Arabidopsis thaliana: one gene and its partners. The protein of the gene in region 3 interacts with the protein of the main gene of each other region in a pairwise test. Each region holds a gene or a part of one and is shown on either strand. Other genes may lie near its edges.

The links.
Region 1: the proteins of AT4G36860 (region 3) and LOV1 interact in a two-hybrid assay, tested with the Arabidopsis thaliana proteins (one large-scale study listed by BioGRID).
Region 2: the proteins of AT4G36860 (region 3) and SEP2 interact in a two-hybrid assay, tested with the Arabidopsis thaliana proteins (one large-scale study listed by BioGRID).

The regions. Positions count from the first base shown.
Region 1 is NC_003071.7:642,143-653,314, reverse strand, and holds LOV1 (NAC domain containing protein 35), read right to left. Parts: upstream 5,778-11,172; 5' UTR 5,311-5,777; coding exon of another isoform or gene 5,272-5,310; coding exon 4,980-5,271; intron 4,838-4,979; exon of another isoform or gene 4,650-4,837; coding exon 4,381-4,649; intron 3,350-4,380; coding exon 2,666-3,349; 3' UTR 2,495-2,665; downstream 1-2,494. Other genes in the region: AL6 (alfin-like 6), read right to left, coding at 175-207, 382-478; AT2G02455 (uncharacterized protein), read left to right, coding at 5,098-5,310. UniProt on the Arabidopsis thaliana protein: Transcription factor that acts as a floral repressor. Controls flowering time by negatively regulating CONSTANS (CO) expression in a GIGANTEA (GI)-independent manner.
Region 2 is NC_003074.8:460,010-471,023, reverse strand, and holds SEP2 (K-box region and MADS-box transcription factor family protein), read left to right. Parts: upstream 1-3,872; 5' UTR 3,873-4,336; coding exon 4,337-4,521; intron 4,522-5,120; coding exon 5,121-5,202; intron 5,203-5,343; coding exon 5,344-5,405; intron 5,406-5,509; coding exon 5,510-5,609; intron 5,610-5,734; coding exon 5,735-5,818; intron 5,819-5,963; coding exon of another isoform or gene 5,964-5,994; coding exon 5,995-6,140; intron 6,141-6,376; coding exon 6,377-6,470; 3' UTR 6,471-6,745; downstream 6,746-11,014. Other genes in the region: AT3G02320 (N2,N2-dimethylguanosine tRNA methyltransferase), read right to left, coding at 46-327, 832-927; AT3G02300 (Regulator of chromosome condensation (RCC1) family protein), read right to left, coding at 7,095-7,143, 7,255-7,446, 7,561-7,992, 8,238-8,409, 8,508-8,580, 8,655-8,702, 8,782-8,975, 9,218-9,506; AT3G02290 (RING/U-box superfamily protein), read right to left, coding at 10,699-10,853, 10,924-11,014. UniProt on the Arabidopsis thaliana protein: Probable transcription factor. Functions with SEPALLATA1/AGL2 and SEPALLATA3/AGL9 to ensure proper development of petals, stamens and carpels and to prevent the indeterminate growth of the flower meristem.
Region 3 is NC_003075.7:17,354,192-17,365,908, forward strand, and holds AT4G36860 (LIM domain-containing protein), read right to left. Parts: upstream 7,924-11,717; 5' UTR 7,485-7,923; intron 7,019-7,484; 5' UTR 6,999-7,018; coding exon 6,710-6,998; intron 6,595-6,709; coding exon 6,249-6,594; intron 6,117-6,248; coding exon 5,996-6,116; intron 5,914-5,995; coding exon 5,830-5,913; intron 5,730-5,829; coding exon 5,610-5,729; intron 5,512-5,609; coding exon 5,299-5,511; intron 5,205-5,298; coding exon 5,142-5,204; intron 5,066-5,141; coding exon 4,947-5,065; intron 4,860-4,946; coding exon 4,801-4,859; coding exon of another isoform or gene 4,766-4,800; exon of another isoform or gene 4,709-4,765; coding exon 4,389-4,708; 3' UTR 4,180-4,388; downstream 1-4,179. Other genes in the region: AT4G36850 (PQ-loop repeat family protein / transmembrane family protein), read right to left, coding at 1-95, 185-374, 701-813, 886-984, 1,158-1,184, 1,273-1,315, 1,405-1,631. UniProt on the Arabidopsis thaliana protein: Acts redundantly with DA1 and DAR2 to regulate endoreduplication during leaf development.

The DNA of each region.
Region 1 (11,172 bases), on a different chromosome or scaffold from region 3:
AACAAGAATGAAACACCTTAAAGAAAAACCACACAGAGGAGGACTAACTAACTCAATCTTTAACCAACACAATTCAACAACATACAAGCTCAACAACTTCAACAAAACATTTCACTAGAAACTATAGAAGCTAAGCAAGACTAATTTTTTAAAAGTTGTGAAGAAATAACTCACCAGGATCACACGTTTGGTAAAACTTCACCATATCTGCATAAACAAAACACAAAACCCAGAATCGTCAAATCTCACAAAAGAAACCCAAAATAAAAAAAGTTCTTCTTTTTTAACAAATGAAAAACCCAAATGCCACAAAATCGTAACTCTGTAGATACTTATCATTCTGATTCGCAAGTGAGAAACAAGAATCAGACCAAAACTGACCATTAGTGAGAGCTTTAATAAGACCAGCTCGTCGACCTCTGAAGTCGCTAAAGACCTCTTCAACAGTACGAGGTATTGGATGAGTAATTCCCTCCATTTCACAAACGATGTCGCCGGAGAAATCGCCGGAGAATATGAGTACTCCGGTCAAAATCAAAATCTGAGACAAATGTTTCCAGGCAAACAAAAGAAACCCAGAAGGAAAAATATTCACTTTGGGGTTTCGGATTTGGAGAAATGAAATTTGTAAATCTCTGAAAGAGAGAGTTTTTTTTTAATTTGGGGGAAATTGAGAAAAGAAAAAAAGAGAAAGGAGCTACAAACCCTAAAACGATAAAACAAAAGGGACCGATCAAAGATTAATTTTGGGGCTGAGAAGTAATATTAATAAAGACAACATTGTCTATTTTATTATTTTTGTATTAATTAAATAAAGACAACATTGTGTATTTTATTATTGTTTATGTAATAATATAAAATCTATTTATTAATTCCGATCTACATACCCTATTTTTTTCCGAGCTACATTCCCCACTCCCAAATTTTACATTATTTTTATTTTGGTCAAAGACATTTATTTAAATTTTATTTTATTTTTAAAAGTGTCGACGAAAAAAACATGTATTTTTTTTTTTTAACATATTCATTTCCATTAATATTACGAAAAAAAAACATGTTTTTATACGTAGGCTGAGGCATCCAAATTGATCCACAAATTTGGTTTTTGTTTTCAATTAACTTGACCTTAAAGATAAAAGTTAAAAGTTAAAACATTCAGGTCCATCTTGTATTGTACAGAAATAGCATGCCTGGCCCATTAAAGGATAGTGGGCTTTTATAGTAACCTAGGGGAAATGAGATTTGAAGTTTTCAACGATCATCACATTCACGTATTTTGAAAGTTTTTTTCACGATATACACCAGAAATAGATATTTTGAAAGAGAAAGCTACTAAAAAACGGAAAACATTTTGCCTTTTATCACTCAAAAAAATAAAAAATTCATCAAATTTTTAATTATTTTATTGTTTTTATGTGTGATTCTAGATGTAAGAATTAAGAAACGAACCAATATTAATCGGATTCGTTATCTTTGAATATTTTTGCGTTAAGCACGTCGTACTAGCTAGCGAATACGTTTACCGCAACTGTAATCTAATTCGTCACAGAATATCAATGATGTGGTATAATCAACTATAATCTTCTTTTTTCTTTGGGCAAAATCAACTATAATCTATGAATATATACTTACTAATATAGGTGATAGACATATATTATTTAAAATAATCTAAGAAAACATGCAAATACGGTTACATCGACCGGTTAGAAAGGGAAAAAACTTTAAAATTAGTACTTTCGTATCATATTCAAGTCAGTATATATTAGGATTTTGCCACATTACATATATTATTAAAGATTGTTAATAATTAGGATTAAAAAGACTAGTATGAGAGTTAAGTCAAGTTTAAATTTGTTTTTCTCATTGAGAAAAAGGGAACTGATTTCTTACAACATACAACTGTTCATGCTGGTCATATCTGACAAAATCACGGGAACAACTGCTCTTACCAAATATTGCACGTCCTATGCTTTTTTTTTTTGTCAAACCCTAATTAGTCTTATATTTACAAAGACAAAAAACTAGCTAACATCTTTTATCTTTATATATTTCTATCTCAAAATTAGTTGTTGAATTCTTAAGAGTTAGTGGATTGTTTATCTATAAAGTCGCACTAACAGGTAACTAAAATTAAACATCTTGGATCTAATGCATGTAAATGACAATGCAAAATGAATTCTAATAAGTGATGAATAAACAACAAAAAATATCAACATTCAATTTGAAATTTTGAAATGGAATGAAGACCAAATTAAATATCACTAGGTTGGATTTACGGTTACTATTGTTATGGTTTAGTTAGTGTTTGGTTTTAGTCTGGTTTCGGTTAGGGCTCGTACATGAAAATCTAATCCAATAAGTTTATTTCTTCTTTGGTTTGTTTGAGAACTTTTGATACGGATTGCACTCCTTAGTCATTTTGTATTCATATATTACAGTGAATTTTTTTTTTTTAACTACGTTGAATCTAGCTTAAAGAAATTAACTTTAACACAAGAAAAAAAAAACTACTTAATTGACTATATATGTTGAGAATCAGTTCCATTACATAAACTCGCAGTAATCAATCATTGTCTATCGCCATAACAATATATAAGGAGTATGAAAATATGGCAAAGCAGCATTAATAATTATTGTCATGGATAATAATCATGATCTAATTAAATTACTTAAAAGGAATATTAGTATAGTGATCTCTGTTTCCATCTGGTACTATTGGATTCCACATATCCCACAAAGCATTGTTTGGAATCGTTCCTGCAGGAATCATGTTCATAGCTAACGCCGCTTGAGTTTGAGGCATTAGCGTTGTCGCTGTAGTCGCCGCAGCCACCAATTGTAATGCGTTTGCGTTAGCATTTTGTTGTTGAGTATGATGAAACTGTTGAGCAATTTGAAAGTATTGGTGATTGATGTTACCTCCATCTGATATTTGGTAGTTAACTAGTCTTTGAAGATCGTCAACAATGGCAGTTTCATCATCGTCTTGATGATTTCTCGTAGAGACTATCAATGTGTTGTTGCTTGTGTCGTAAGGCATTGGACGATATATGTTTTGATTGGCTAGAGCAATGGTAACGTCAGAGTTACTGTTTGTGGTCGTTGTTGTTGTGCTGCCGTCGCCGGAATATTCGGTGGAGAGCTTCTCGAGATTGTTGATGTTGTTGTTGTTGTTAAGGTTGTTGTCGGAATGATTAGAGGAGGATGAATGGTGTTGTTGTTGTCTTAAGGCTAAACGGGATGATGTCGATGAGTTATGGTTATGATGTCTTGTGGAGAGAGAACGTGGTACCGATGGATGATCTTCTACTCCTGGCCTTTTGTACACTCGGCACAATGATATTTCAGCCTATAATTATACATGAGCACATTGATTAGAGACTTGATACATATATCAAATTATCAAATATAGACTAACAATATCTATGAAAAATATCATTTATCGAAGATATGGTTTTGAAAGAAGATTCACAAACTATGTAAAGTTAGCATTAGCAAAAAAAGATAGCACGTTTAGAAGAAATTTAGAGTACTATCATATGACGTAACAATGCAAATATAATTAAGATGATTATATTTATTATTTTTTATATATTTAATTGCGTAATTTTAGTTTTATTAGTACAAGTGAATGTGCAATACATACACATAGATAATTATGTCAACCCTGTTGTTTTAGCTGTCTTATGCATACATCATAATATCATATATATACATAGAAAATTTTATAAATTTATGGTTTCAAATGGTGACGACATATAAGTCGAAAGAGCCCAAAAAATGTATTTATCTATCCATTGTCATTTTCCGTATACATAATATTTTTTCGGTCTACTCCATAAACCGTTATCATTCGTATAGATTTTAAATGTTCGCATATAAATATGTTGGTATAATTCATATATGCCAAATTATTTCAAAAAATGTTGGGTAACTTAAATAGAAGACATGAATTAATGTGAGGAAGAGCAGGAACATTCATGTCATAAATTGTAAGAAAAACTAACTATGTCTCTGCAGAATTAAGGTATATGAATGTCGAGTGTGATACTTGTGTGTTTATATATATGTGTATGCATCTATCTATTAATGTATTCTACTATAACATATGGGCCATGTCTAGCAATTTAAAGAGTTCACGCATATGACATGAACATTTTTCTGGATTTAAGCGCAAACGCCGCCTGACATTTAGTCCATTCACAAGTATTTTTGATCTTATCGAATCAATTCCAAAATAAATAAATAAAACTAGTCAAAAAAGAAAAAATTCAAACTGTCTAGGGATTAATTTCAATTTTAAAGGCCTCACCACCTAGCTAGGGTTATATCTATGTATGTATGAATAGGATATATATAGAGTTATAGTAGAATTTATACCTTTTGGTACTTCTCGGTTTCATGGTGCGGAAGACGATACTCGTTCATGATCCAACTAGTACGAGTGCCTTTAGGGGCTTTACCAGAGTAGAAAACTAGGGTTTTCTTTAATCCGATAGGCCGAGAAGTCTCCGATCTGATCATCCTATCAGCTCCGGTGGCTTTCCAATATCCTGAAGTCGTTACTCGGTTCGGTCTATCTCCATTTCTATATTTCCGATCTCTTGGCACATAGAAGTACCACTCTTTCTCTCCTATCGCCGCCATAGCTGCATATACATATATCTATGATTAAACATACATAAGCTAATTATGAAAACATACACATATTTGTATATCTTATGATATATATGTAGGTTGTTTAATTAGGTTAATTTAAGAAAGAAACTAAAGAGGGAGAAGCGTTTAAAGATATTGAGAATTGTTAACGATCGACATAGTAATACTTCATAAGGAGGTAGGTACATATATAGGTTAAAAAAAAAGAAATAGAGAGAGAAAGTGATAAGAGAGAAGAAAGATCTTAACATATGAATAGAAATTAAGATTTCCAAATAGTTTGAGATGATTTATGTGTGTTTATGTGAATGTATATTTACCAGGAAGTTCCCAAGGATCATAGCGATAAAGATCGAGGAAAGTGATGAGTTCTACATTAAAGCGTTTGCCTTCAACTTTTCGGCGAAGGTAAAACTCTATGAGTTCTTCTTCGGTAGGATGGAATCTAAATCCGGGCATGACCATGTCATGATCATGATCATCAGCTTCATCTTCATTTTGGACATGACTCTCTTGGCCGCCTCTATGATCATTGTCTTCTATACCTTTTTCGTTATTGTTGACTTGGTTACTCATGGGAATGATGCTTGTTGTGGAGGATACAATTGCCATATATCAAAAAGACTAGATATGTGTATGCATGTGGATTAAGGTGATATATGATGATGAAAAGTGATTAAGGGTTTGCTTGGTTTTTATACTAACAATGGAAGGGAAAAAGAGAGATGAAATTGAGTGGTGTTGAGTAGAGATAAGAGGAGGAGAAGAAGAAGAGAGGACGACTATATAGGAATGAAACGTCATCGTTTTTGGGAGTTGAGACCAAACTAGAATAAGACAAAGAGAGAGAAGAAGAGAGTTAAGGAGGAGACAAAGACTTGTCAAATTGAGGACAGGGTGTCCACGGTTTTGTTTTCTTAGCCGTGCCTTTGGACCTTTCTCTCACTCTCCATTTCTAGCTTTTTGTTTCAAAATAAAATAAAATATCTATCTATTAGTTTTATGTATTTTTTCTAAATACTAAAGTTTCAAATATTTAATAATTATTGGGTTGTAACACAAATGAAAAGAACAGTTGATATCTTTTACAGGAAAAATTAAAGTTTATGTATTATAAACGAAAAAATATTTTGAAACAATATTACGAATTGACATCTTTCAAATGGATGTCATGGACCTCATGGTTACTAGTTCAATTATACTTGGAAAAAATAATAATTAATGTTTTAAATGCAATATCAACAATTGGTGTGGACATACGAAAAATATAGACCGAAAGTCTAAAATTCCCAAAAACTATCATTCTTAGAAAAAATATATCATGGTTTTCTTTATAGTTTTATTTGCACATGCACCATCTCATGCACGTTAAAGATTCATTAGTTTTAGTTAGGTATATGATTGGTATTTTATAAAGACAATCTAAACTTTAGAGAATAACAAATTAAGTTGATTTCATGTATAATTTATGTGTAAATAGTCTATATTTTGTTTTGGTTTTTGTTCCAATCCATCGCTACAAAAATTGCGAAAGTGTAACTAATCTAATTCTCCTGATCAAGGCATAGCGATAAAGGATCCATAATAATTCATTGTTATAGGTAGACTAATTGAATAACGGATATTCTTAAAACAATGTTAAAAATTTGGATTATTATAGTTAATTTATTCATCGTTGAGACAAAGAATTCTGATTGGTGGCCTATATTACTAATTAAATAATAATATCACGTATGCTTACTATGTCACTCGTCATAAATATATTTACGTGTTTTTCATATGCTTCAGCTTCACGAACGTTCTCTTATTGTTTCGCTATTTTTTTTATGATATATTTGGCCCACCATATCTTCATTGCATGATACTACTATGTCTTCAATTATGAATGCAAAACAAACTGACCATGATTTTGCCAACGCTCTCCATGTTCCTATGACTTAGTAAGAAGCTGAACTTACAGTACATATGTTAGAATTTAGAAACCCGCCAGTTCTTTAAAATTTGTATTAATATATATAGATACAATATATTATATTTAGATATATGTATCTATAATCTATATGTATAATTGTTCCATTTTATTAATAATTCAAAAAAGTAAATAAGATATAGACACAAAACAATAAACATCGTAACAACATTAGCATATATATATATATATATAGCTGAGCTAAAAAGGCTAGGCAAACTGTAATATATTTAAGTTCATCATGGAAAGATAGATAAAATATATACTAAGTACAAATTTCATACTTACAAGTTTATATGGAAAAATGAATTTAAAGTATCAACGTAAATGAGATAATGAATGAAATTAAAGTGAGGTGGTAGTGGGGCTTCTACGAAACGAGAGTGGGGTTTTTAGAAACCTTACTCTACGTTGTAATGACTTCATATTTTATATTTTTATTTTGTCAAATGTTTCAATGGATGTCATGGACTTCATATTTTTTAGAAATCCGTGAATGCATATATCTCATTCACAACAAATTTCATTGGATTGAGCTCAGTGTAGACAGACATTTTTCAATATGGATGTCGCGTACCAAAAAAGCTTATGAAACGTGGAAAAGATAAACTATTCAACAACCATTAATTAGACCATTGCGATATCAGAAAATGAACTTTTTTGTGTTGTTAATTCGAATCTTCGTCAAGAAAATTATCTAGTTACATGATTTTTTTTGTTTTTATGTTTAAACAATTTATAATATATTTACTACGAACTAATCAAATAGTAAATCAGTAGACATACACATATTTCAAAAATTATTATACCAGTTTAGTTTACATAAATGTATAGCTTTTGGATATATATTTAAGGTTTTCATTAAAATGAATGTAGGTATGAAAGGAAATATTATGTATGACATGGAATCATAGGCATGGACCCTTCGAATATTGATATCAGTAAAAATATAAAATGGCGATAGAAATTAGGAATTAAATGTATTATAAGAGAGTTTAAAAGTAGATTAAGCTAGTGCATAATTTAATGCAAGCGAGTCTTCCATCGGTTTGGCTTTTAGCTAGGGGTAGCAAGTAGGGTGGCGGATATTATATAATGTACATTCCAGAAGATTAAATCATTTTTTCAGTTTAAAGTTTTTGCAATTGTAAAAAATTAAGACCTTTTAATTTTAATTCGAAAAGAACATATATTTCTATTATTATATATATGACATATTATTAACTTATATTTTGTCTTCTGATTATTACATTTTCACATGAGTTTGTCTTCGTTAAAGTTTTAATTATTATATACTATTGTACATATACAGCATAATAGCAACTCAGCAAGGGATTACTTTGAAAGTCTTAGAATCTTCAAGCTTACTATTTGGCTAAATATGCAATATATATACACGCCATTAGTTTGTGCTTTAGCAATTGATTTAACCAAGCTGTAAGAAGATAATTCGTCTGGTAATTGTTGTACCATTACTCTGTAAACTTTGGGTTGTACTCTTCATTTTTTCTTGCTGTAAAAAGAAAAAAAAAACACCTAAAGCATGTAAAATTCTCATATTGCTTTAAACCAAAACAAAAAAGGAAAGATACAAAACGTGGTGAGAAAATATAATATAGTTATAGAAGTTGTGAATTTTAGAAGGGACACACTATATACACTTGAGTCTGATTGGAAAACAAATGTTATAAAAGTGCATAATAGCTGTAAGAATTTCCTACCGATCATACTTTTGCTTAAATCAATTATAATATGAAACGAGGAAAAATTTAAAGCGGGTTCGAGAACAAGAATTTAAGGATTTGAAATAGGATGATGCTAGAATAGGTCCAGTAATAAAACCCCTAAAAGTCTTATGCGATCACTATCACAAGTCTTGTCCTAACTAAAATAACACTTTTAACCAATTATCGATTCGTTTTTGCCCAGAATAGAATTTAATTGGATTTGGTTACCATCATTACAATTTCATTGGTCATCAGTTTTTGTAGTTAGGTGATTTTAGTTTACTTTTACAAGTAATAATTGAACTTTAGTATTTCATTATTCCACCAACTTTATTATTATATACTAGTATAATAGGCACACTCTTATGATTATTGACCCTTCTTTTTCGCAATAATAAATATATTTCAGATTGTTTTGGGATGTATCTAGATTCCAATGACATGTATGGACAGATTGTTTTAATATAAAAAAAGTATATGCTCTCCAAATCAAGATTTGGATCGTATCTTTTACATTCTTGTGTGCTATTAATTATTAAACTTTCGATAACTTAATAAAACAGAAATTTGAATCGGTTAACCAACAACACTATCTCGTTTCTCATCAAATCGTGTACTTAAAATAATTAAATTTATAGTGATAATATAATTTGGATATTAGATTTTATGTAATCCACAAACATCATTTTCAAATTAATACTATATTAGTATATTAGTCAAACTTATTAAGTTTATATTGAGTATCCTTCACTATCAAATCTCTCTTACTTTTTTTTTTTCTTTTCTCTTTTTGGGATAATCTCTTACTAGAATGTTGTAGTTAAAAGAGACATTTTTAACTTCCAATAAAATCATTCATATTTAGCTTTTGTTGGTTGAACCAATGACTATGTTAATAAGACTATATTTTTCCTCGTGATTGGCTATATTTGTCCTGGTCTCACGTAGTCGGAAAATATCTAGAACAGTAACTGATTTTTCTTCATAGGTATTTAGATATCTTATGTTCAGAGAAATTACCAAAGAGCCTCTACACATATATACCGTATGTAACTATGTACTGTGAAAAACGAGCAAAATAAATCATATTATTTAGATTAAAAGATTATGGTGGGAGTTAAAATACTTTCATGAGTTACTTACTAATGATTTAAGTTTTGCTAAGAGACTCTTGTTGGTAGAAACTTTCTGTAAGGTTTTAATCATAATTAAAACAATATATTGTTGATCATAATCTAAAATGGATTTTTCGTTTCAATTTTAAAGTCAATCATACTGTAATTGCATCATGTTTATGATTGTTTTTTTAAATTCTAAAACGCAACTGTTGTAACAAAAAAAAACTTCACTAAATACATGATATTGACTCTACTTTAGGGTAGAAATATGTCAATATAAGATCGTGTAAATTACACACACAATCCTGTCTTGGGAGCCACAGGCATTTCGTGGACTTGGCCTTCTTGGCGGTTGTCAACCCTTTCTCTTGGCTCTTTTTGCATTTACTCAATTGTTTGTATTTTTATGTATTAATTAATATCTTACATATATGTCCCATTTCACTTTCATATTTTTTTTGCATATCTCACATTTGGGTTTCCATATCCAAAACGAAATATCCTTCTATGAGTTATGAATAGTTACGTCACATACAAGAATTACCTATTCGTCTAACTGATTTTGAAAGTTTCATAAATGAGCCATTTAAACTGATGAAATGCTTCCTTAAATGCTCAAGCGAAAGAATTTACAAGATAATAAATTTACAGCCACACAAAAAAAATAAAAAAAAATATTCTACATTTTAAGAAAAGAGAAAAAATGAAATACAGTATATATTTATGCTCAATAGCCAATAGGTGACGCCAACGTCTTATATCATCATGAGCCGGCCTATGAATACAAAGGCATCGTCCATGATTGATAAGATATTTGCAAGTTGTTAGAAAATGATAGGAGGAAAACTAAAATTAAGGTATTATTGGACAAACAAATATAGGGATAATATAATTATATAAACTATTTTCAAGCTGATTAAATAGTTAACTAAGCTCCAAAAGTATGTTTCTTAATTTTTTCTTACAATAAAGATAAGTTTTTCCTCTCTGTGTTTTTTGTTTTTGTCAATTCCTCTCGGTGCTTCTTATTATAACATTTTTACTCTATATCACCACAACACGAGTCAAAAGCCAATATTAATATATTTCAAGCTGATCTCCAGACTTATATACACGGGATATAAATCTCTGGTATCAATCAGTTGCAACTTGCAATATATAGTGCTAAAATTCTACAAGATAATTAAACTGTGTATAATTACCACTAATGTAAACAATGAAACTAAATTGGTAATTATAAATTTAGAAAGAAAAACGAAAACCTGAAGATTTTATGAATGATAGAAATATTAAATTAAATAATTATTTCACGTTGAAACGATATGTTAAAAGGTATGAAAGTGAAAAGATTGGTATGTCAAACAATAAATAAACCAAAATATGGGTTTTTTTGAGGGATGGCTATTCTATAGAATAAAACCAACCAAATTGCATGGAAGAATAAGACCGACGTACAATTTTATGTTTATCTTGTGTGTGTGTTGTATGGACCGCCCAGCCAATAATGCAGCCACAAGTTGATCGAAGAATGATTTGTCTTCATTTACACAAAATTACAAAATTTAACTTTTATTTTAATTTTAATTGTGGGGACAAAACTTAATGCATGAAAATGACGTATGTCGCATCTCTTCTACGATCCATTCCTTCAAAATAAAAATACTTTTGATAGGTAACGATATTTTCATTCATATAGAGA
Region 2 (11,014 bases), on a different chromosome or scaffold from region 3:
ATAAGCGGTATGAAGCAAGACACCGAATAAAAAATATAGGAAGACCTCAAGAACTTTTGGTGGCTTGGGTTCTCTAGGTGCAAATCGTTCTGTTGTCTTAGCAGGGTCTTTTGATACAGAGCTTGGTCCATCTTCAGATGCTACTTCGTGATCACCATTATTCATACCGTTCTCGCTAGGAGTTTCTTCCTTGGAAGCTTCAGAAGCATCCTTCTCAATCACTTTGGAAGCTGGTCTAGTTCTTTTAGATGACTTAGCCTCATGCTCTTGCTTGCGTTTCGATAGAAATTCCCTTAGAACAGCAATGGACATGTCTCTATTGTTCACCTAATCATTCGATAAAGACATGAAGGGAAAGAGATCAGGTTCACGCTCAGATCCCATGTAGGTTCAAGCAAACACATTACTATCATGACCGGAAGTTAGCTACTTAAATTGGTAGTATGAAGGATAAGTTTCACAAATATCACTCAGTGAAAGATAGATTTCTCTCAGCAACTTACTATGAAACTGGCTAATCCATCAAAAAAGTTTGATACTTTGGTTACTCGAAGACGTAAAAATCCAAACTTTAAAACAATGACTGACAGTTCCTTGATTAAAACAGGTCAACCAAATTCTTGTTACAGAACAAGCGAATAAGCCATGAGCTAATTGGTGCAAATCAATGTTCACTGGTCTTAACAAAGCTACAACATTTAATTACAAATCAAAGCAGCCAATAAAAATCGAACAGAACACCAATTCAGATAACCTATCTCAGCCTCTATCTTAAGAAACACCAACAATTACAAAGAAGAGAAAGAAAAATAAAAGAGAATTTGGAAAAACCTGAGCTTTATTGAAGAAGACTTGATTCTTCTTGTGCATGAGAATCTCAGCTTCTCCTTCCTTGATAACAGTATAATCATTCAGATCCGTTTCCATTGCTTTGGTATTCTTCTTCTTCTTCTTCTTCTTAAGTCTCTCTACTCACAAATCCAATTACTTCCGCTATTGATTTATGTAACTCGACGAGGAATCACAAATACGTGTATGCAATAAATAAATAAAAAGTCCTACCCGCTTCGATTTCCAGAGGCAAAATACCAAAGAAGAAGGAGCTTTAATTTAAAACCCTACTACATAAACTCCCCAAGATCAACATAAAAGATAATGGGTATGAATGTAAGAAAACCAAAGACAGGGTTGGACCAAGCATAAATAAATAAAAGATAACGGGTGTGAATGTAAGAAAACACAAAATAGAGGGATCAGAGACTAAATATCAAAAGTAGAGGTGTTAAAACATGGCCCATGCAGGTTTCGAACCTGCGACCTTCGCGTTATTAGCACGACGCTCTAACCAACTGAGCTAATGGGCCATTTGCGAATGGTAGTGTCTATTTTACTTATTCGAATCTAAATCGTCATAGGTAATTAAGAAGACATGCAAAGCTTAATCAATGATGGATTCTTTGATTCTACTTCTAGGTGCCACCATTGACGCATTCATAAAATCATAACCGGTCGTTTACAAAACATATTGCTTGAATGATTCTAAACAAATAATAGTTTTTTGTTGAAATTTTCAAAACATATGTTAGGTAAGGTCAGGTTTTGCCAATAAGCCTTACTATATACAGTGGCAACATGTTTCTTCTACTTTGGAGGATTTTGGGTGAATATGAAACCCATGTGAGCATGATACATGTGTTTCTTCTTCTATTGAAATTTCCCCCAATGGTCATTTGCTCTTTGCGTTCGTGTTGCGCTTTCCGGTATCAAATCATATATATATATAACCTAAATGAGACTAGACAATTTGAATCATTGTAAAAGGTATAAAGAAGAGATTATAGTCCACAATTAACAAAGTAATAAGACGGTAAAATATCAAACAAATTGAAAGGGTAAAAAAAAAACAAGAGGGACAAGTCACTGTTAGAAAGGTGACTCCTCCCTTTGGGCCAGCCCCCTACCACAAAAGTCAAAGCTTACTTACTATTCAGTCATATATCGACACGTGTACTTCGAACCACATCACCCATCCTATTACGTAATTTCCACTGTCTAGACTTTTTTTTTTTTTTTTTTTTTTACTTTTTAACGTTTTTTAGCTGTCTCTCTAAATTACTACATACGGACTTGCTACGTCACCTGAGAAGAAAGATCTTTGCTCGTAGATTCTTTGTCTGAAGGAAAATTATTTGTATTTAGTTATTTACAATTGCATAATTGTGTGTAGTAAATCCGCCAGAATGATATTAGAGTGATACTGAGACGACGAATGGTGTAACTTGTAACATATATACTAATAAACACGATTGATTAAAAATTTACTATACAGTATATCCAAAACATTATGATTGAGAGTGTACATATACAATAAGTAATTAAACCTCAAAACCAAACAGTTTTTTTTTTTTTTGGTCAACAATAATTAGAAATGAGAATAAACTATTTAACTTATAAATTCTAGACCCAAAAACTCATATTTTACCCTTCTTGGTCTCACCTAAAAAGACTTTAATTCCCAAAACTCTTGCAAACAATGGCCAAACATAGAAGATTGGAAAACAAATTTAAATCTACTTTCACTTTTATAAAGAATAATCAACGAACCAATTAAGTTAAACCTACATATATTCGTATGTGATCACATATGTGTTATATTCCTCACGTTCTCTTCCATTTAGCTAATAACCTTAATTACTTCAAGAAATCATATATCAACCGAAAACTAGTAAAATAAATATACATACTGAAAGCGCGCAAAATTTTTAGCAATATTTTAAAATACCCTACATCATAGTCTTAACTAATTAATCTTTCTGATCAAAATTTATTTTCATAATATTCATAAATACTTATGGATTACCTAAACCAGGATACTTATCCCTATAAATCTGTCAATCATCATGGATTCATGGAGACATGGTCAGATATCCCACGTCCAGATACAATGTAACATATTGATATACTGCGGCTGATTATTATTTTTTACATTAGAACGAGTTTAGATCCAAAACAAAATTGGTATTCTCAAACAAAAATTAAAAATTGAATACGAAAGTAATAGAACAAAACTTCAATGTTGTCGAATAGATAGGAAGCAATAGAAAAGCGACACGTACATGTCCATTTTAAGGTAGGAGAGGCTTTTCTGCGGCTTGTGAAGTAAGAAAAAGAAAATGATGATAGCTGCTTTCGTTTCATTCATTGCAGAAGAAACCAATGTTTCCCCAATCTCACGCGCCTCCTCCTATCTACCACCACTTGGACAAATCCCCTTTTCAGTATTAGTTTTTTTTTCCGGACATTGTACATTCAAAAGCATTCCAAGTGTCTAATAAACATAACTAACCACTCCAAGATGCAAAATCTAGCTACGAACAAATTTTAAACTATAGAGATGAACTTTAAATTCGGGCATTAATTAGTGGAACTTGAGCTATTGATGAGTTTTCTGACTTTTTGAAGCTTAATTGAGTTTTATATACACTATATATAGGCTTGTAATAATATGGATCAAACAAGAAATATATAAACTACAAATTGGGAATTAGGTTTTAAAACGTTATCGTTCTATTTTAATTCAGGCACCTTTAGAATATCAAGATCCATGCATGTTTCAATATTTCTGTTGACAAATAAATAAAGATGTCTCAAATATGAAGTTTGGGCAACGTACGTGTAGACCTAAAAGAGTCGAAACATTGGTATCTAAGTCATATATCTAGATGTATATGGACATGGATTATATAACTAGACAACGTTTGTTTTAAAAACTTAATTCATTTTTCTTAATTAGTAGCAACTAGCAACTAACTACTCATGGCAAATAATGGTGTCTGCGTGGCACGCACTTGGGAGAGAAGGTGTGAGAATGTTTTTTACTTTCTGTGTAAAAGATGGAAGAGAGAGAAAGAGTAAAGAAGTAGAGAGAGAGATATTGTATCACCAAACCCTAATGATCTCTCACCCTCACAAATTTTCTTATCTTTATAGCTTTTATAGATTCACAAAAACTTTTCTTCAGATTCACAATCTCATCACAACCCTTCAAAAAGAGAAAAGATCTAAAGAATAAACAAGAGCCCTAATATCAAATCACAACCAAAAAAACCAAAGAAAGCTAATTAAAGTTTTCTCTCTAGCTATTCCTCTTCTTTTCTTGTTCTTGAAAACTAGGGTTTACTTCACCAAAAGATAAGATCTTTCCCCAGAAAAAGCAATACCCAAGTCATGTTTCTGTGTGTCTGTATATAGATAAAACATTACATACCCTAATAAGGTTACACAAATAGCTATAAAAGAGGGAAAATAAGATAGGGATTTTTTGGGGTGAGGAAAGATGGGAAGAGGAAGAGTAGAGCTCAAGAGGATAGAGAACAAAATCAACAGACAAGTGACGTTTGCTAAACGTAGAAATGGTTTGCTGAAAAAAGCTTATGAGCTTTCTGTTCTCTGCGATGCTGAAGTCTCTCTCATCGTCTTCTCCAACCGTGGCAAGCTCTACGAGTTCTGCAGCACCTCCAAGTACTTCTCTTTCTTTATACACTTATTAGATCTGTGTGTAGATCTTTCATTTTTCTAGTCTTGTGATGAGTTTTATCTTTCTTGATTGCTTTTTAACAAAATACTTGATATATTTTCAGTTTCTTAATCTGATCTCTAATTAGGTTTTGATTATAGAAGAATAATTCAGTACTTTCAAGTGATTGAATTTCGAGATCTGATCTTAATTTAATCATCATGTCAAATTCTTAGGGATTTAATTGCAATCTATTTTTAGATTTATCGGAGCTAGGAAAGTATCATAATGATATACTATTATTATCATGTAATTTCATTGTCTCTACACGGATATATATGTGATTAGAACTTGGTAAAGTAAACTAAAGATTCACAGTCTTCAATGAAATTTAAAAGATCCAACGTAGAATAATTAGTGGTTCCATGCATTAACCAGTCTAATTAAAGCTCATGCAGACATTTAAGCACCACATGAATTTAATATCTTTTTAATTAAGGGATCTTCTTTTTATAAATTTTCTTTTGTTAGTTTTTAAAATTTTAGTTTGTTCATTAAATTTATAGATTCTTCTTCTCCTGATTTGTGTTTTTTGATCTTTCAGCATGCTCAAGACACTGGAAAGGTATCAGAAGTGTAGCTATGGCTCCATTGAAGTCAACAACAAACCTGCTAAAGAGCTTGAGGTTTAATCTCCAACATCTCTTCGATCTTAATTATTTATCCTTTTTTAATTTTATCTAAAGAAAATGTTTGATTTTGAGACAAAAGCCCTTCAAAGTTTCTTACATAGATATTCAATTGTCTATTATCTTCGCAATTTTCAGAACAGCTACAGAGAGTACTTGAAGCTGAAAGGTAGATATGAAAATCTGCAACGTCAGCAGAGGTATATACATTAATGTGGATGATGATCATTTATAAACAGCATATATATATATATATATATATATATATATAGTTTGTATTGATCATGAAAGTGTGTTGCTGCAGAAATCTTCTTGGAGAGGATCTTGGACCTCTGAATTCAAAGGAGCTAGAGCAGCTTGAGCGTCAACTAGACGGCTCTCTGAAGCAAGTTCGCTGCATCAAGGTGATTTACTTCTGTACATACACTGAAAGATTCACACAAATCTTTCTCTATATATAGACTGAGACACATGCATGAAATGTTTTTGATGCGTGAGGTTATCTGAAAATGCCTCTTCTTTTTTGCAGACACAGTATATGCTTGACCAGCTCTCTGATCTTCAAGGTAAGGAGCATATCTTGCTTGATGCCAACAGAGCTTTGTCAATGAAGGTATATGATGATGTTTCTCTCTCTCTCCTCCAGTTTCTATTTATAGATGGAAACTTTAAATAGTCCAATTTATATATATGAGTCTAAATTTCACATTCTTCAACTGCTACATGTTTCTTTTGTATTATTTCTATGATATCTTCAGGAAAGTTTGAAAAATATTGTGTTTTGTTTAGCTGGAAGATATGATCGGCGTGAGACATCACCATATAGGAGGAGGATGGGAAGGTGGTGATCAACAGAATATTGCCTATGGACATCCTCAGGCTCATTCTCAGGGACTATACCAATCTCTTGAATGTGATCCCACTTTGCAAATTGGGTAAATCAAACAACTTTTCTTGCCTTAAGACATCAACTTAGGTTATAAACAGTTAGCAGTTTGCTTTAAGCCCAACATTGTCTTTGTTTCATAGAGGCTTTGGTTAAAACTCGTGTTGTTTAGTCTAAGGATTCAGCACTTTGATGTCTGAAGTATGGAAAATCAATATCTCAGACTTGAAAATGTGGGTTTCTATTGTTGACTTCGAAACTATGTTGTTGTGGTGTTGCAAACAGATATAGCCATCCAGTGTGCTCAGAGCAAATGGCTGTGACGGTGCAAGGTCAGTCCCAACAAGGAAACGGCTACATCCCTGGCTGGATGCTGTGAGCGATACTTCTTCCCCCAATAAAGATCTTAAGCAAGTACTGGTGGGGTCTTCGTGGTGTGATCTTAGATCTTATGCATATGAATAATAATGTTATTGCACAAGACTTTTGCTTTTGTAGACACAAGTGGCTATAGCTGTAATAGCCTTCAACATCTCTCTTCTGTTTCAGGATTTGTTTGTGCCTATTGTAATTGCTTATATATGTATGGTTTGTATAATGTGTGAAATGTTAACATCGACCATGTCTCATCTGGTGAAGTACTTATCCTGTCTATGCATGATACAAAAAGACGTGGTTAGATGCTAACCGCAATCGCAAACACAGCTTGTGACAAAGGCATATAAACTCTCAAGTTAACAGTGACATTCAACAGATCACAATGCCACCAAGATGTAGCTTTTATTTTCGATTCTAGTGTACAGAACATATAATTACAATATCTGGATCTTACAGAGGCAGGACAAGTAATGAAATCTGTCCTGAAAAGTTAAATGATACAGAGAGTTCTGCTGAAGAATGTAATTTCTGGTTTGCTACATTCTTCAATTTCTCAATAATATAGGACCAATTGTAATAACTTCCAACAATACTAAATTGTTTCGGAGTTTGGGGATTGTGCTTTTTAATATACTTCTTCCCCATTAGTAAAGTCCCCATCAAGTAACTGCTCCCTGAAACACATCAAGTCGCATTGTTTAGCTTTACTTGACTTGGATTCTTTCTAAGTTTCAAAGTTTAAGGGGTAATGAAGAAGTTTGTCCAAGAACTTCAACTTTGCTTACCTCAGTCTTTCGCAGAGGCGGGCTAAAGCTTCGGATCCCATTCTGAATGCAACATCTTGAATCTCTGAAGCATTTGAGAGGTTCACACTATCTGCTAATTGAAATTCACACAACTCCTTCAACGAAAATGCATCGGTTAAAACAGCTGAATGACCACCTCCTGCTGCTAGCTTCCTCACTTGTCCTACACACCTGAACGAAACACCAGAGTTCATGTTAATCTAACTGAAAAATACCACAATCTCTGTATCCCATACCGTTTTGGTTAGCAATTGAATAAACAATACAAACTTGTTTGAGCTATACCAGTCTACAGGCGATGGGTACCAAGCATATGACGATTTCTCATTTGCTGCTTGACCATAACTATTATAACCCCATCCACAAATTCGTCCCTCTCTCATATAAACGAGAGTGTGAGAATGTCCACACGCAACAAGCCTGACATCAGTTGGGATGACTAAAACCGGGACATTTCGTAGAAGCATTTCGCTTCCATTAGAGACACTAAAAAAGAAACCAGATTGAGGACCAAGTCCTAGCTGTCCTGCTTGGCCACCACCCCAAGCATAAAGTGCTCCTTCCAAAGATAAAGCACAAGTGTGTACACCACCACAAGCAACTTCTTTCATGGACACACCATCGAGACCAACGACTCTCCTTGGTATTAACTCCTTATCCCCGGATTGAAGAGAAACATGCCCAAGTTGACCCATGCTTCCTAATCCCCAAGTGTAACTGCCACGAAAGAGATAAGCAGTGGACACTGAATAAGATAAACCGAGAAAATATAAGCAAAAGGGAAGAAGACTTGCAAGTCAGGAATTCATTTGCTTCCTCAAGCATTCCCATCTGCTAGGATGTGATGAGACCAATATCTCCATCAAAAGGATTTCCTTCCTCGGAACATTGCACAGAGAATTAGCTACCCATTCATGTGAATAACCACAAACTTTTCAAGAGAAGGCATTTAGATAACTTACACCTCGCCTGCATCAGAAAGAGCAGCAGTATGGTATTCTCCACATGAAAGTTGCATAATCTTCACAAGCTCGGGTGCTTCATCAAGGAACTTCGCATAAGCATTTATCACACGAGGTGCTTGTAGTCCTTCACAAGTGACTCCTCTACCAAGTTGGCCTTGTTCATTATAGCCTTATAATATCCATGGAACACAGAAACCTCAAAATCATTATAAATAAATACCAAACAAACAGATTCTAATGCATAACAAGATCTCAAAGCATTCTTACCCCAAGCTTGAAGAAGGCCTTCCTCTGATAAGGCCACAACATGAGCTGTCCCACATGATACTTGGCGGATTGCCTATAATATGTGCAAATACCAAATCAATGTCTACACTAGTATGTTTCTATCATGGATAGGATTTAAGTACATACCGTTGTAGCAGGAAATGCCCCCGAAAACAAGCGTGGTAGATTTGATCCCTATCATGAAAAAATTGAGAGAGTATTAGAAAAATACATGACGTGACAATTCCAGTCACGATAATGGAACCTGTTATACCTGATTTTGGCCCCAAACCCAGAGTCTACTAGTGGAAAGAGTACCGTCATTTTCACGGGGTTCTGCGATAGCTGCAGTGCAAAAAGCTCCACAAGACACAAATTTCACAAATTCTGATTGCAGCTGTTTCACCTTCTTTGGATGTTTCCTCCCAACCTCGGTTCCATCCCCAAGCTGACCATATTCATTAGCACCTGAAACGAGGACATAAAAATGTAAGAATCATCCCGTCTTCAGGAAGTTACGGATTGCCTAAGATTCAATCACAAGATCCAACAATTATAACCAAACAACTAATTGGTAACTACTTAGATTGCTTTCTATCACACTTGATACATAATCAAAGCCAAGAATTACATAAAGAAAAGAACTTTATAACACAAGAAGAAAGACAATCTAGTAACAACACAAAGGAAAAGAAAACTGAGAGACTGACCCCAAGCAAAGAGAGAACCATCTGATGCAACCGCAGCTGTATGTTCCCGACCACAAGAAATATCGAGCCAACGCGAATTGGCACCAGCGGGGCAACCAAAAAGCTCAGGAGGAAGCTGTTTTGGGATACGCAAAAGCTTCTCTTGTTCATTCCTACCAGTTTGTCCGCTTTGATTGTAACCCCAAACGTATATAGCACTCTTCGTTGGGATACTCACAGAAGGAGCTACTTCACCAATGATTTCTCCAATATCCATTTTTAGAAATTCCCCTTTTAAAGAAGAAAACATGCACAAAATTGTTATTCTTCTTAAAGACCCAAACTTTATGAACAAAACTCTGACTTTTACAGAAATGAGCAGAAGCGATCACGAATCAGGCAAGTTTTTCAATACCCATCTTAGAGCTAATCGCGAATTACATAACTAAAGATGACACCACACGCATATGCACGAGAATCACAATTAACCAAAAAAAAAAGGAGAAAGAATCTGAAACCGTACCTCACAAATCAATGTTGAAATTGGATGAATCGCAAATTCTGAAGGTCTTTGTTCGGTTTTTGGAGTAGTTAATGTGTAAGAAACGGAGGGAAAGAGAGAAGCAATGAGTCTCGTTCATTCATTTGCTCCGAGAGCTCCGGGACCGACTCCGGAGAGACATTTCTGATATTAACATCGGAAGACCTTTACTTTATAAAATATTACAAAACAGTCCCTAAATTATGTTTTCTTTTCTCTTTTCCCCCACTTCATAAGACTTTTATCACTGCATCAGTTCCTTAGATTGAACACATAAAAAAAGAAAAATTTATTTATATAACGACAATGATGTAAGAGTTTTGATGACTGACTAGAGAATACAACAACAGAGGCATTTCATGAGAAAAAGTCACTTAAAGAAGAAACATTGCTTCTTGTTTCATGGAAGTTAAATTTTCTCAGGAACTTAAACTGTTGCAGAGTAACAGTTTCTCCTTTTCTGCTTCATATATTTACCATTGTAAATGAAAATATTCACAAACCAACAAAGCCAAATTTACAAATTATATTCCTTGCATTGCCTTGTCATCTTCCCCGGTTTCAGTTCAGATACAGGACACGGATCAATGGTCGATGATCACGGTGTTTCGTTGAATTCCATCACCTGCATACATGAACAATGGATCAAAAATGGGAGCTTTTTAAAAATCCGAATGAATCAGAACAACACAACTGTTAGGATTCCAAGAAAAGATTATTTCTTTATCGGGAAACTTGTACGCACATATGCTTTCACTTGTTCTACCATCTGAGTCTCAGGCAGATAAAACCAGAAGAAGCCATGGAAAGAGCATGATGAAATTTGAAAATGGAGCTTTTTAAAAATCAGAATGAATCAGAACAACAATATTGTTATGAATTCCAGGAAAATATTAGAGCTTTTCATCATCTAGACCGTGCAATTTCGAAAAGCATATGGCCTTTTGCTTTGACGGGAGTTTTATACGCACTTCGTTCTAAGAATGCAGAAAAAAAAAGTGGTTACCTTTCCGCAGACTGGACAGTTTTCACTTCTCTCCATCCACTCATAAATGCAACTAAGGTGGAAATGGTGTGAACATTTTGTCACAATCTTTGGGTTCTCTGATGTATATTCTGCAAAAAACCAACAAGATATGAATACTGAAGGAACAAAAAGGAGACTGTTGAATGGGATTATTATTACCTTCAAGACAAGTTGGGCAGACATCTTCGTCTTCAGACAATATATACATGTTTTCAGAGTCGGCCATTATTGACTTGGACCTTGATCTCAA
Region 3 (11,717 bases):
AGCCGTCTGCTTGAAGCATGTGCATATTTTTCCGCTAAGCTCTTTGCCTGAAGCGGAAGACTAGCCGATGCAGCCAAAAACGTTCCAAAACCTGCCTGAGAAAAAGAAGTCCAAAATGGGTCAATATTTGTTCTCTTAGCTTAAAGTGATTTTAAGTTGGCTAAGTTAAAAAGAAATTACAAACCTGTCTAGGTATTGGCCTTGGTTTTGTAATGGTTTTAGCCGTTATGACAGGACACGTCGACATTGTCTCATCTTCGTCCGATGACGAACCATCATTGTCGATTGCCAGAGCCGAAGGGCCACTCTTAGCCACTCGAAAATACGATGTTCTTAAGGGAGGTGTGCCACTTCCGGCCAACGATCTCGCCGACCTGAACAAATAGCCCCCCGCAAAACCACTTGTCAGTTGTCACAATTGAATATAGAGAGCGGACATATATATTCTATGATATAAGAAAATTGAGAAAGCTAAAGGATAGGTTCGAGATTTTATCAGCAATTATGTAATTATTTTATGAAAAAAATCGTTACCCTTTCCCTCTGTTTCTTCAAAAGCTTGAGAAAACGACAAGAAAAAACAGAGTATGCAGGGGAAAGCATATAATAATAAAATATACGAAGCTTTTGTCACAAACTTTAACTTATTTGTAGACAAATTAGAGTAAATAAAATATGATTTATGTTTAATAATCCGTACGTGTAATAGAACTCTCTCCGAGAAGAATCTTTGTAAGATCCTCCTGGGATGGAAATAGCAGATCCCATCGTCTTTGGTGGTTTCAATGGTCTCTTCTCTTCATCTTCCTCATCCTTAACAAAAAAAAAAAACCCTCATTATGATAATCAACACCTAAAAATGTAATCAACTCTTATAATTATTACCTTTTGACAAATCTTGGTACGTCTATGTCTACAAAGTTTGTAGATGTAATCGTAGTAAATAGTCTGGATCACCAATACTACAGTGCTCACTGTGTAAAGCTATAGAGAGAGGAAAAAAAAATAGTTACGGGGCTGATTTGTAAATAGAATAAAATAAAGCGGTCGAATAAAATAAATAAATCCGAACAATTGACGCTAATTTTAATAGAAGCGACACGTAAGCTTTGTAGCGACATATGTTTATTTATGCGGCGAGAAGACGGTGATGTTACCAAGGCTGTGTAGAACTGAGTCGGCAACTACACAATTCAAAATAAGATAAACAATGAGAAAACAATAATAAGACATGAAAATAATTATGTACTATAGATGTTTTGTGTATCTTACAGTAGCTGGTTCAAGAAGACAACCGACGAGATTGAAGATATCACTGCACCGATTGATAAAATTCATATAAAATAACGTTAGGGAAAGAGAGAGATTATGATAACAAAGAAGAACTTGAGATGGTGTACGGACCCGGCGACCCAAGCGAGGAGGAAGGAGAGAGAGACACCGTTACTTGACTTTGTACGGAAGTTAGTGATGACCTGAGGAATCTCTGCGACTCCCCAACAGAGGAGGCTAGCGATTCCAAGTGCGAATGAAACGTCGTCGTTTAAGTTACAGAGACAGTCATCGAAGTATATCTCTACCCATCTCACGCATGTCTTCTTCTCCTTCAAGCAGTAACCTAAAGACACCATATGTCTCTTTGTTTAGGTCTTCTCTCTCTATATATGTTATATATGTCTTACTCTGTCTGTGTGTATGTCTCTCTCCCTCGGAGGTTCTTGATTATTTTATAGGATTATGGGTGAGGAAAATGACAAATCATAAGGAGATAGGGGAGAGAGATATCTGTAAATACATGTATTCATTCATATACTTGGGACCATTTATTTTACTTCGTATATTTTACCCACCATATCTAAGCTTGTTACGTTATACTTTATTGTAATGTTTCGAATCATTACATTATTAATCTTATAATATAGTTCTTTGATTGCTTTACTTTTGGATTAACAAGCATTAACAAGTTGTTAATGTTAAGGTGATTAATAATTATCAAGGGCACATAAAAACAAGAGATTTCAAAAATTAAAGTTGGAGGGTGGAGAAAACAGTCGACCTATGATTAATGAGCATATTCTCTTTTATCTTTTGATGCTCTGCTGAATCTCAGATGTTCAGCCTTTTTAGTACGGTTTATTAGGTATATTCTTTTTCACGATTCTCCAACATTTTGGTATACATTTCTGCGAAATATATATAACCTAAGCCCTAAGAAATTGTTTTCGTCGTCATACATATATGTTTTTAATGTTCTTTCAGTAATCCTAATCCATTGGCCGAAAATGTATGCAATAGTTAAAACCACATCTAATCCGGTTTGGTTATGTTTTGTACTGATTATTCAAATCAAAGTGTACGAGAACTTAATTGGAGTAAACTCCATGATGTTGACATTTTATGGTATAAAAGATGCTGTAAAAGCTTTACAACATTATTGATTAAGCAACTTGCATTTTGTAGTTTACTTGCCTATTGATGTTAATGAATCTGGAAAAGCCCGACAAAGTTGTACATTTGTAACTTTGTGGCGTAGCCACCATATTCGTGCGATTGGCTGCCCCCAAAACAACGGTCCACATTTTTACTGAACCAGGAATTTAAAATTTATTTTATTTTTGAATGAAGGTGCCAAAGCCAAATAGCCTGCTTAGTGCTGACTGCGTGGTGGCATCATGTTACGATGATGACGACATCTTTCATGAACCGACTTTCGAATTTAATGACATCTTTTAATGACACCTTGGTGAACTGTTTTGCATAAATTTCAAGTTAGTTAAAAAAAAAAGGGAAGATAGTTCTGTATATAATGTTGCAGTTTTGATTTGTTTCTCAAACACTAAAAACCAAAATTAAAATTTTGCAACCTTCAAATTATACTTTACAACTTTTTCAAAAGGCAATAGAATAATTTCAAGATTAGCTAGTGGATTAATGAAATTCTCTGGTTCATGAATTCTGAAATAACAAAAAAAAAAGAAAAAGAAACAAAGGTTAATACGTTTTGTCACGTTACGTCGTTTTTGCCCTCGACAAGACATTATGAACGATCAATTCATTAGCCCTAATTCTAAATGACGAGTACTCTACCAACCATTAATTTTGTTAACATCATACGATATAATGTTGACGAATGACGATAATATCTAGAAAAAATTGAATTCTTAGAGGTGACTTTTAAAATATGTCATACCAAAGAAATATATCATGTCCACTAAAACGTCTTCACTTTAATCGATCGTAAAAACATCAAGAATCCGTTTGCTCTCCCTCTCCAACATGAGTATCCTCATTTTTTTTTAACAAAAACTTTTTAATATATACTTTAAAATTAGATTTCAATATTAGCAAAAAACCATTAATTTCTATATCGATGAATAAAATTTTGATTTGGTTATAAGAAAAAACATTAGCTTAAATAAAATTTGTTGAAACATAAACGCTTGATAGAGAAAATGTTTTAGAAAAAAAAACCAAAGAGAGAAGAAAGAAACGGCGACGAGGCGCCGCGACAAGTTGGATGAGGAAGTGGGAAACACGTGTGAATATATCATCCTATCTCTCTATGTTTATCCTCATATCCCACATCTTCACAATGTTTTTTGTATCTCTTTATCATCATTTGTTGATAATGTCTAATATTTATATTTGGAAATTAATGATTGACAATTGACTTGAGACGTTTTCGTTTTTTATACTCTAGAGAATTGACTGAACATCTCGATCGAGAGAACTCATCTTCCCATAATACTAAGTTACTTGAATGTTGTTTTACACGATCTTGTAGACCATAGTAGTTTTGATCAACAAAATATCATTTTACAAACGATAGAAAGATAGAGAGCATGGAGTGTATTTTTTCACAATGTCTGTATTTTAATTAACAGATGGCAAGCATGCATACTATAATATTAATCTAGTTAGACAGGTCAATATGAGGATACTTCTACATTCTACATATTTGACCTTCGTCCTCTCAGCGAATAGAAGAGCCATAATATACAGTACATATTATGATATAATGTGGAATTGTGGATATACAAGTCTATCCATTTTCGGATTTTCCTTATCTTTCATACTTTTATCCACTGGTCCAGATATGATGAAGTCAAACTAGTGATTGTAGTAATTTAGATTTTGAAAACAGAATAATTTGCTATCTAAGAAATAACAAGCAAAACGTTTGGCAAAAAAAGATAAAAACCAAGCCAAGAATTTTTGGTCTTGTTTCTTGACTCTTGATTTTTTACTTAAAAAGTGGAAACTTTATGACACTTAAATGTGTGTATTGTTGTAACCTATACATTTTTCTTTTTCTTTTCTTCTCAAGTCTATACTCTAAAAAACTATAACAAAGCTTGTTTTCTCTCTTTTTATAGTTTAAATTCCATTTAAGGAAATGTACCGGTCAAGCGAATATGGTCGAGGGTTCGCCTCAGACCATGCTTAAGAACTGCTTGGTTACCTTGCCTGAACCCATCCCCATATGCCGATGAAGAATCCGACTCGATTTGATGCTTGAAAAACTCACCAAGTTTCTTCTCAAAATCAGACCTCTCACCTTTCTTGGACGATGCTGACACCACAGCAGATGATGAAGAAGATGCGATGTCTACTAATGTAGAGCCAGCATAAGTCTCAGATTCCAACCACATGTGTGCTAAAACTTGACATATTCCTTCTTCCACTTCTGGTCTAAGATTTGGATACCCTACAGATATACACAGAGCAACAAAACATTTTTTGATATTTCCCTACGTTCAATTGCTCAACATAATGAGAAGGGAGTGTTCTTCAGATTACCATTTAGTCGAAGCCATGCATGCATCATCTCATGAGCAAGGATTGACCCGGTTAACAAACTGTACAAGTGTAATACGAAAATTTTAGATATCTTATAAAGACAAAAATTTGGTTTAGGAGTGTGTTGAGAAGTGTTTTTCTTTTACCGAGGAAGTCCATATAAAATGAGAATCGCAGTGACTTCACAACGACGTATCAGCCTGCAAGGCTCTGTGATCATGTCTATTAACTTGTAGCCTGCCCCAATTCTTGGTCTCCTTAACACCTATATCAACATCTTTCTGATTCAGAAGCAATTTGTGGTGGATAGCAATTCATTACAAACTTGGAAGAATGAATACCGTGGTGACAGTTTGTTCTTCAGACAAACAAAGTCCTCTAGTTTCAGGTAAATGATGATGTCCCTGCAGCAAAATTAGATAGAAGTAGGTTGAAACAAATGAGCGAGAGAGAAAGAGAGAGTATAAACATAGTATCAATAAGATATAGAGGTTTTACGTGTTTCTCTCCTTCCATAGCTTCGTTTAGAGCTGATCTCTCCACCAAAAGCATAGGAATTTGCTGTTCCACTTTCATATGTAAGCCTTCGTAAAATTCACGTATCTCAAGGTACAATGGTTGGCATTCATGAGTGTCCATAATGGCTGAGTCGAGACATTCAAGACACAGTTTTCGACCATCATCAAGAATGAGATATTTTGTATCTTTTGGCTGAAACCATGAGCCAAAAACAGAACAACATCTGGTTTTCGAATCAGATTCTTAAATTTATTTTCCTATTAACAGAAATGCTATATCGAACAACTGACCTCCATTCGCTCACAACTGCAACACCGAGGAGTTCCATCACGCTCATGTGAAGGACAATACTTTTGCATCCAAAAGGGATGTGCCCTATACTCAATAAGACCAGCTGGATTTGTCGGAATCTAGAGGAGTTACATTTATACATACACATTAAGCTTAGTACAACCTGGGAACAAATTTTGGGTAAAATATAGAGATCAACAGAAGTTGGCTATCACTCACAAAGTTATGGCAAACATCACATTTAGGATGATGCTGCTCCTTGTAACATAATTTGTGATAAGGCCGATTTCCTGACATTGAGAACTGTAAAACAAAGCTTGAACAGGTTAAGCTTCAAAAGAATCAGGAGGATACAATAATAATACTTAATAAAATGTATAGGGACCTCATAATCTATGATGGGCTTATCACATGCATTGCAACAGAAACATTCAGGATGCCAAACGCCACCCATGCAACTCAGAAACCTTCCATGTCCTATCTCAGCTTGGCAACCGACACATATCCTCCAAGAAAATAAACAAAGAAACAAAATTGACTCATTGGAGCTAATGTGATCATGCATCATATCACTATCTAGAGATGATAGTGTCTGAAAATCTAAGAAATGGACATTAATGTATTTTTGAACCATTTACCTGTGACTAGAAGGAATGAGGAAGGGATATGGTTGAAGTATATTTCCTGGATCATATCGAGGAGGAGATCCCACATTCATACTTTCTTGAAGGGCCTTGGCGAGTAGCTCATCTTCCTCCAGTTGGGCTTTAGAACGCCTCATTTCTTCCTCTTCTAATCGAGCTTTTGCAAGCAGTTTCTCTGTTTCTTCTAGTTGAGCTTCAGCTCTCCTTTTCTCTTCTTCCTCGATTTGAGCTTGAGCTACCCGTCTTTCCTCTTCCTCTGCTGCTTCTAGCTGAGCTCTCATGTATTCTTCATCCTCATCCTCATCGTCATCGTCATCTTCTTCGGTTTCAGATTTGTACTCTACAGAATATAAGGTTTAAGAAACAATTTAAGCAAGTTACATTTCCACACATAACTTTCTTTCTTCTCTTTGTTTTTCTCTATGCATTACCAACGGAGAATTAAACAACATTACCGATTATTTTCTTTCCTTTGTCATCTTGTGGAATTACATGTTCTTGTTCAGAAAGAGAAAGTGCAATAGCACATTCAATCTCCTCTTTGTCAAAATCAGATCCTTCCTGAATCAGAAATTCAAGAAACCCTTTTATCTTCAATTCAAAATGAACCAAAAAACAGTAAAGTTCACTTACCGCAGAATAACGAGGACCTTCCAAGTTTCTATCTTCTCTATATCTTCCATTACATTGTCCATCAGAAAACTTATGGCTAGAACCTTTAAGGATTTTAGTTAGCCACCCCATTGGCAACAACAATCCCTTACCTGCATAGAGAAACACTGTTATACATCCAAGAAAGAGAAGAAACTCCATGTCTTTTGTTTTTTTGTTTTTCCTTAATCAAGGATTAAGACAATAATTGGTAAGAAAGAATCAGACTGATCCAACAAAGAAAGTTAAATAATATGCAAATGGCAAAACAGCAATTGAAGAAGGTATTATTATAGGGAGATTGCATCAAATATAAAAGGGTTACCGAAATCTTAAAGACTGAATTGAAAATAAGGAACCAAAGTACGGAGCTTATTACAAACAATCTCAAGACCCTAAATTGTAATAATATCCAGAAAAAGATTATCCACATCATCCTCAAAACAATCAACCTAATCTACATTCATCATTCCAAATACCCATAAGAAGAAAAATGAAATCTTTATGAAGTTTATTACTGTTAAAGAAAAGGAATCTAAGTACAAGTCAAAAACAGAGTAAAGAGAAATCGCAAATTACCTGAAGGAGATGACAATAAAATTAGCAAAATTAGATGACCCTATGGATCAAAAAAGGAAACTCAATAAACATGATTCTTCAACTTCTCTCGATCACCCTAAAAATCAGGACTTTCTTAGGGAATTGACAGCAGAAACAGAGCAGCAATAGAGAGAGAGAAAGTGAAGGGAGACACTTGAATTCGAAGCAAAACCCTTTAGCTTTTAGAACCCGTGACTGTTAATTATCTTAAAAAGCGTGAAGAAAGCTTAATAAATGGAACAGAATAGAGAGAGAGAGATGAGTAGAGGATAAATCTCCATTAAACACACTTAAAGGTAAGAACTTTATGGAGAAGATGATGGAAATTGTTACGTTTTTTTTGGTTGGGAAGGTCAAGCAAGTGGGCACTTGTTTACAAAAAAAAAAACTAATCATATTATTTTACGGAAGAAATTATTAAGAAGGTTTATAGAAATCAAATGTTTGAAAAATTAAGAGAGAAGAAAAAAAAGAGCTGATGTTTACTAGCATTAACACTAGTGACACACAATCTTTGACTCTCCTCTAATTTACTCTTCTTTAGCCTTTTTTCAACACTCCTAAGTTGATGATTTTGCTCATGACTTTTACTATTCACAATAAAATACCGTTTTTTTCTTTCACATCAAATTTTTAATTAAAATTAATAGAAAAAAGTAAAATAAAACAAAAGTTTAATATACTTCAATGAATAATAACTCGCACATGAATGGAATAAATTTTGTGTCCAACACATCACCCTGTTCGAAATCCCCTGGTCTGTAAACCCAATTTTACACAAAAATACAAAGCAGAAATATAGAAACTGAAAAAAATCATTGAAAATTGTTAGTAGGTAAGGTTATCTAATACTTTATTTAGCTCAACCTAATGCATTATTTAGTTACATACGACCAAATTAATTGGAAAAATATAGACAATATTATCTGGATAATTAGATGAGATGACCCATTGCTAATCACAATTGTACATTACAGTTTCTTATATATATTATTATTTTATTTTTGTGGTTGAGATTAAATTTTGTTAGAAGGATCAAGAGAATTCGGTGGGTTCAATATAAAACCACATGTGAAAAAAAAAACGTGTATATTGTGATTAGCCAATCAATTAGTTGTTTAGGTGCCCAAACTTACTGTGCCACCGCAAGTTTTATCAAAATTAGGTGCTTAGCAAGATGATTCAACTACTCCAGGATATTTTATTTTCCTCTGTTAATATTTTTTTTTTCTGATTGTTTTATTTTAGTAGTAGTTGAATCAAGTGACGTTCTTTAAATTGTGATCCCACTCACTTCTTACGCAAGCAATGAATTAAAGTACTGCAATAGACAAACTTATTTGTTATATATTGGTCATCAAAGTTATCAATTAGCTTTCCAAAAATTTCACTTTATTCACATCTATAAATCATTGACACTAATACTGATGCCATATATTACTAAAGAAAAAAAGAAAGAAAGATAGTTGTATTATCCAGTGGCCATATATTTTAACCAGGCTTCTTAAGGCCCATATGGTAAATTTGGGCCGACGAATCAAAACCCTTATTGTAGAATAATTTTTAAGTTTAAATCAGTTACAGATAGTTGTATTATCAGTGGCCATATATCATATAATGATTGTGGGCTGGGTTTTTTTTTTTTTTGTCTAACAATTTTTGACGATAATATCTTTAATATTGAGCTACAAACAATTTTCATTTTAAAAAAATGCGCCGTTGAATCAAATAGAAAACAGAGAAATCATGTTGAAAAAAACAAAACAGTTAATTTAGAAAATAAAAATTTATGTATTGACAAAAATCCATTTTCATATTATATAATTACTCCCTTTTGACAAGAGAAGTTATTATTACTCTTCGACCATATCAATTTCTAAATTATTTTTAAGCATAAAAATAAAAAGAGTAAAAAAGATTTTGAAGCTTGGTGATGAAAAGTTGAAAACACAGGCTGTCACGCTGGATGATCAAAACACGTGGCACATTGAGGAACGTTGATCCCAGCATGGACCACAAATCCCACGTGGCCATGGCCATCCCTTGCCGGTTTTCCAGGTGGACCAATCAAAATTAATATGTCTCTTAGGACCATTTTTTTTATATGTACACGTTTTCATTTTGAAAACATATTGATAAGGAAAAATAAATCAAGCATTTTTTTAGTTGTAGATTACAACGACGGTGTGACTGGTTCGCTGCTTCTTTTTTCCATTGGGGACTTCTATAATTTAGTCACTACCAATAAATCATTCATCATAATTTAATTGCAAAGTACAGATATCTCCTAAACATGTTTATCAAAAAATGTTACTCCGTGTTCATCTACGATTTATATAAATATTAGAGATATAACACTACGGTCCTTATACATAAAAGAACTGAATTAAGTGTTTTGTATAATATTTTCTTATGTATTTATATATATATATACAAAAACATTATAACAAAATGGTCAAGATATCCAAAAAGCTACTATAACAAATGGTCCTAGCTAATTATTGGTGGTATATGAATCTAGACAAGGAAATAAATGATATGAATTCGTAGAGGTTGTTGTAATTGTATTAAGGTTTAAATTATACTCTTTAGATGCAAAATAAATAAAGAAATAAACAATAATAATTGGAAAGATAATATTGAAAAAATGTGGTGACAGAAGACCATGAGAATGTTGGTCCCTTGGACCTTCGCACATAAAAACATTTTGCTTCTTTTGTTTTTCTTCATTTGATGACAATTTTTGCTTTATTTAACCAACTATTGCCCAATGGTAACTTCTAATATAGGTTCACACATATATTATCAATAGTTGATACTTTTTACTTCTATATTGATGAAATTGGAAGAAAGGTCCGTTGACTCGATGGTCCATATACAGTTTTAATTTAGATGAGCGATTAGTGAGTTTTGATATACATTATTCATGAATCATGAACTTAACAAACCTTTCAAGATAAGGCGTTGCATATTCTTGAATATATATATGATTTCAGATCTCATACGAATCATCAATTTTAACTTATTTCATTTGATATAATAGTTTATCCTGTTTGGCCAATTCAATGGTCATTTTCTATACAGTCTCACATAGTTACAGTTGCATGTACTACTGAGTCATAGTCATGAGTGGCACATCAATTCACTAGCTGAGATGTGATTTCTTTTATATATAATAATCAGAATATAAAGACAAAAAAAAACATCTTCAATCAATCCTTGCCCTATTTTTTTCATTAATTTCTAACGCGTGAGGATTTGGATATACAAAGTATTTGTGGTTGTTCGCGGAGAAAATATGATAGGTTAGAAGTTAACATCATTAGGTGAGGATTTCCCAAACTTAAATTGAATTAATTAGTGCATAAGTTTAGTCTCTTTTAAGACTCAACGTTTGATCATTGTATAAGGATTTAGTTATTTGATTACATTTACACTATCATCAAGTGACCAAAAAAAAAAATTACAAGTGACCTAATTCAGATTCGTTGTGATCTTCATGGTGACATAAACACAGAAGTTTTCGCAAGTACCTCATGGGAAGTAACATTATTCGAACCTTGATAAGACAAATACACTGACATAGTAGTCGGGGACAAATTTAAAGAAACATGTCGTTCCTAGATTTTGACAGTTTTCATGCACACGCATACGTTACATATGTGTATATGTTTGTATTAAAAACATTAAAACAGTTCTCAAAAGCAAACCTTAAAAAGAGTAGTGAGCTTGTTAAGTCAAACGATTAAGCAAAAACAGTAAAACACTGTTAGATTGTAAAATAACAATTAATGGTTAAAAAGCAAAAATAGAAACAGAGTAAAAGAGTTGAAAACTACTATTACTCATCAAACCAATGAAATAAGAATCTAAAATAGAAGATGAGAAAGAAAAAAAAAAGTAAATACGAAAGGAACAATTTGAGTAACACCAAAAGGACAAGAAATGGAATAAGAAGGGACCATCACTGCCATTTTCACAACTCCCTTTGTGGTCTCACTCTCCCATTACTCATGACAAATAATCAAATTTATTTGTTTCTTTCTCATCGACTTTATTGTTTACAACTTTATGTATAATAAAACTTCTTACAGAGTTAAGAATGAACAAAACTTTCATATGAATCTTAAGCTCACAAAGGAGATTACCACTAATTAGAAATTACCAAAAAAAAAATCAGTAAAAAAGAATGTAATTCCGGCAACTTTCAAA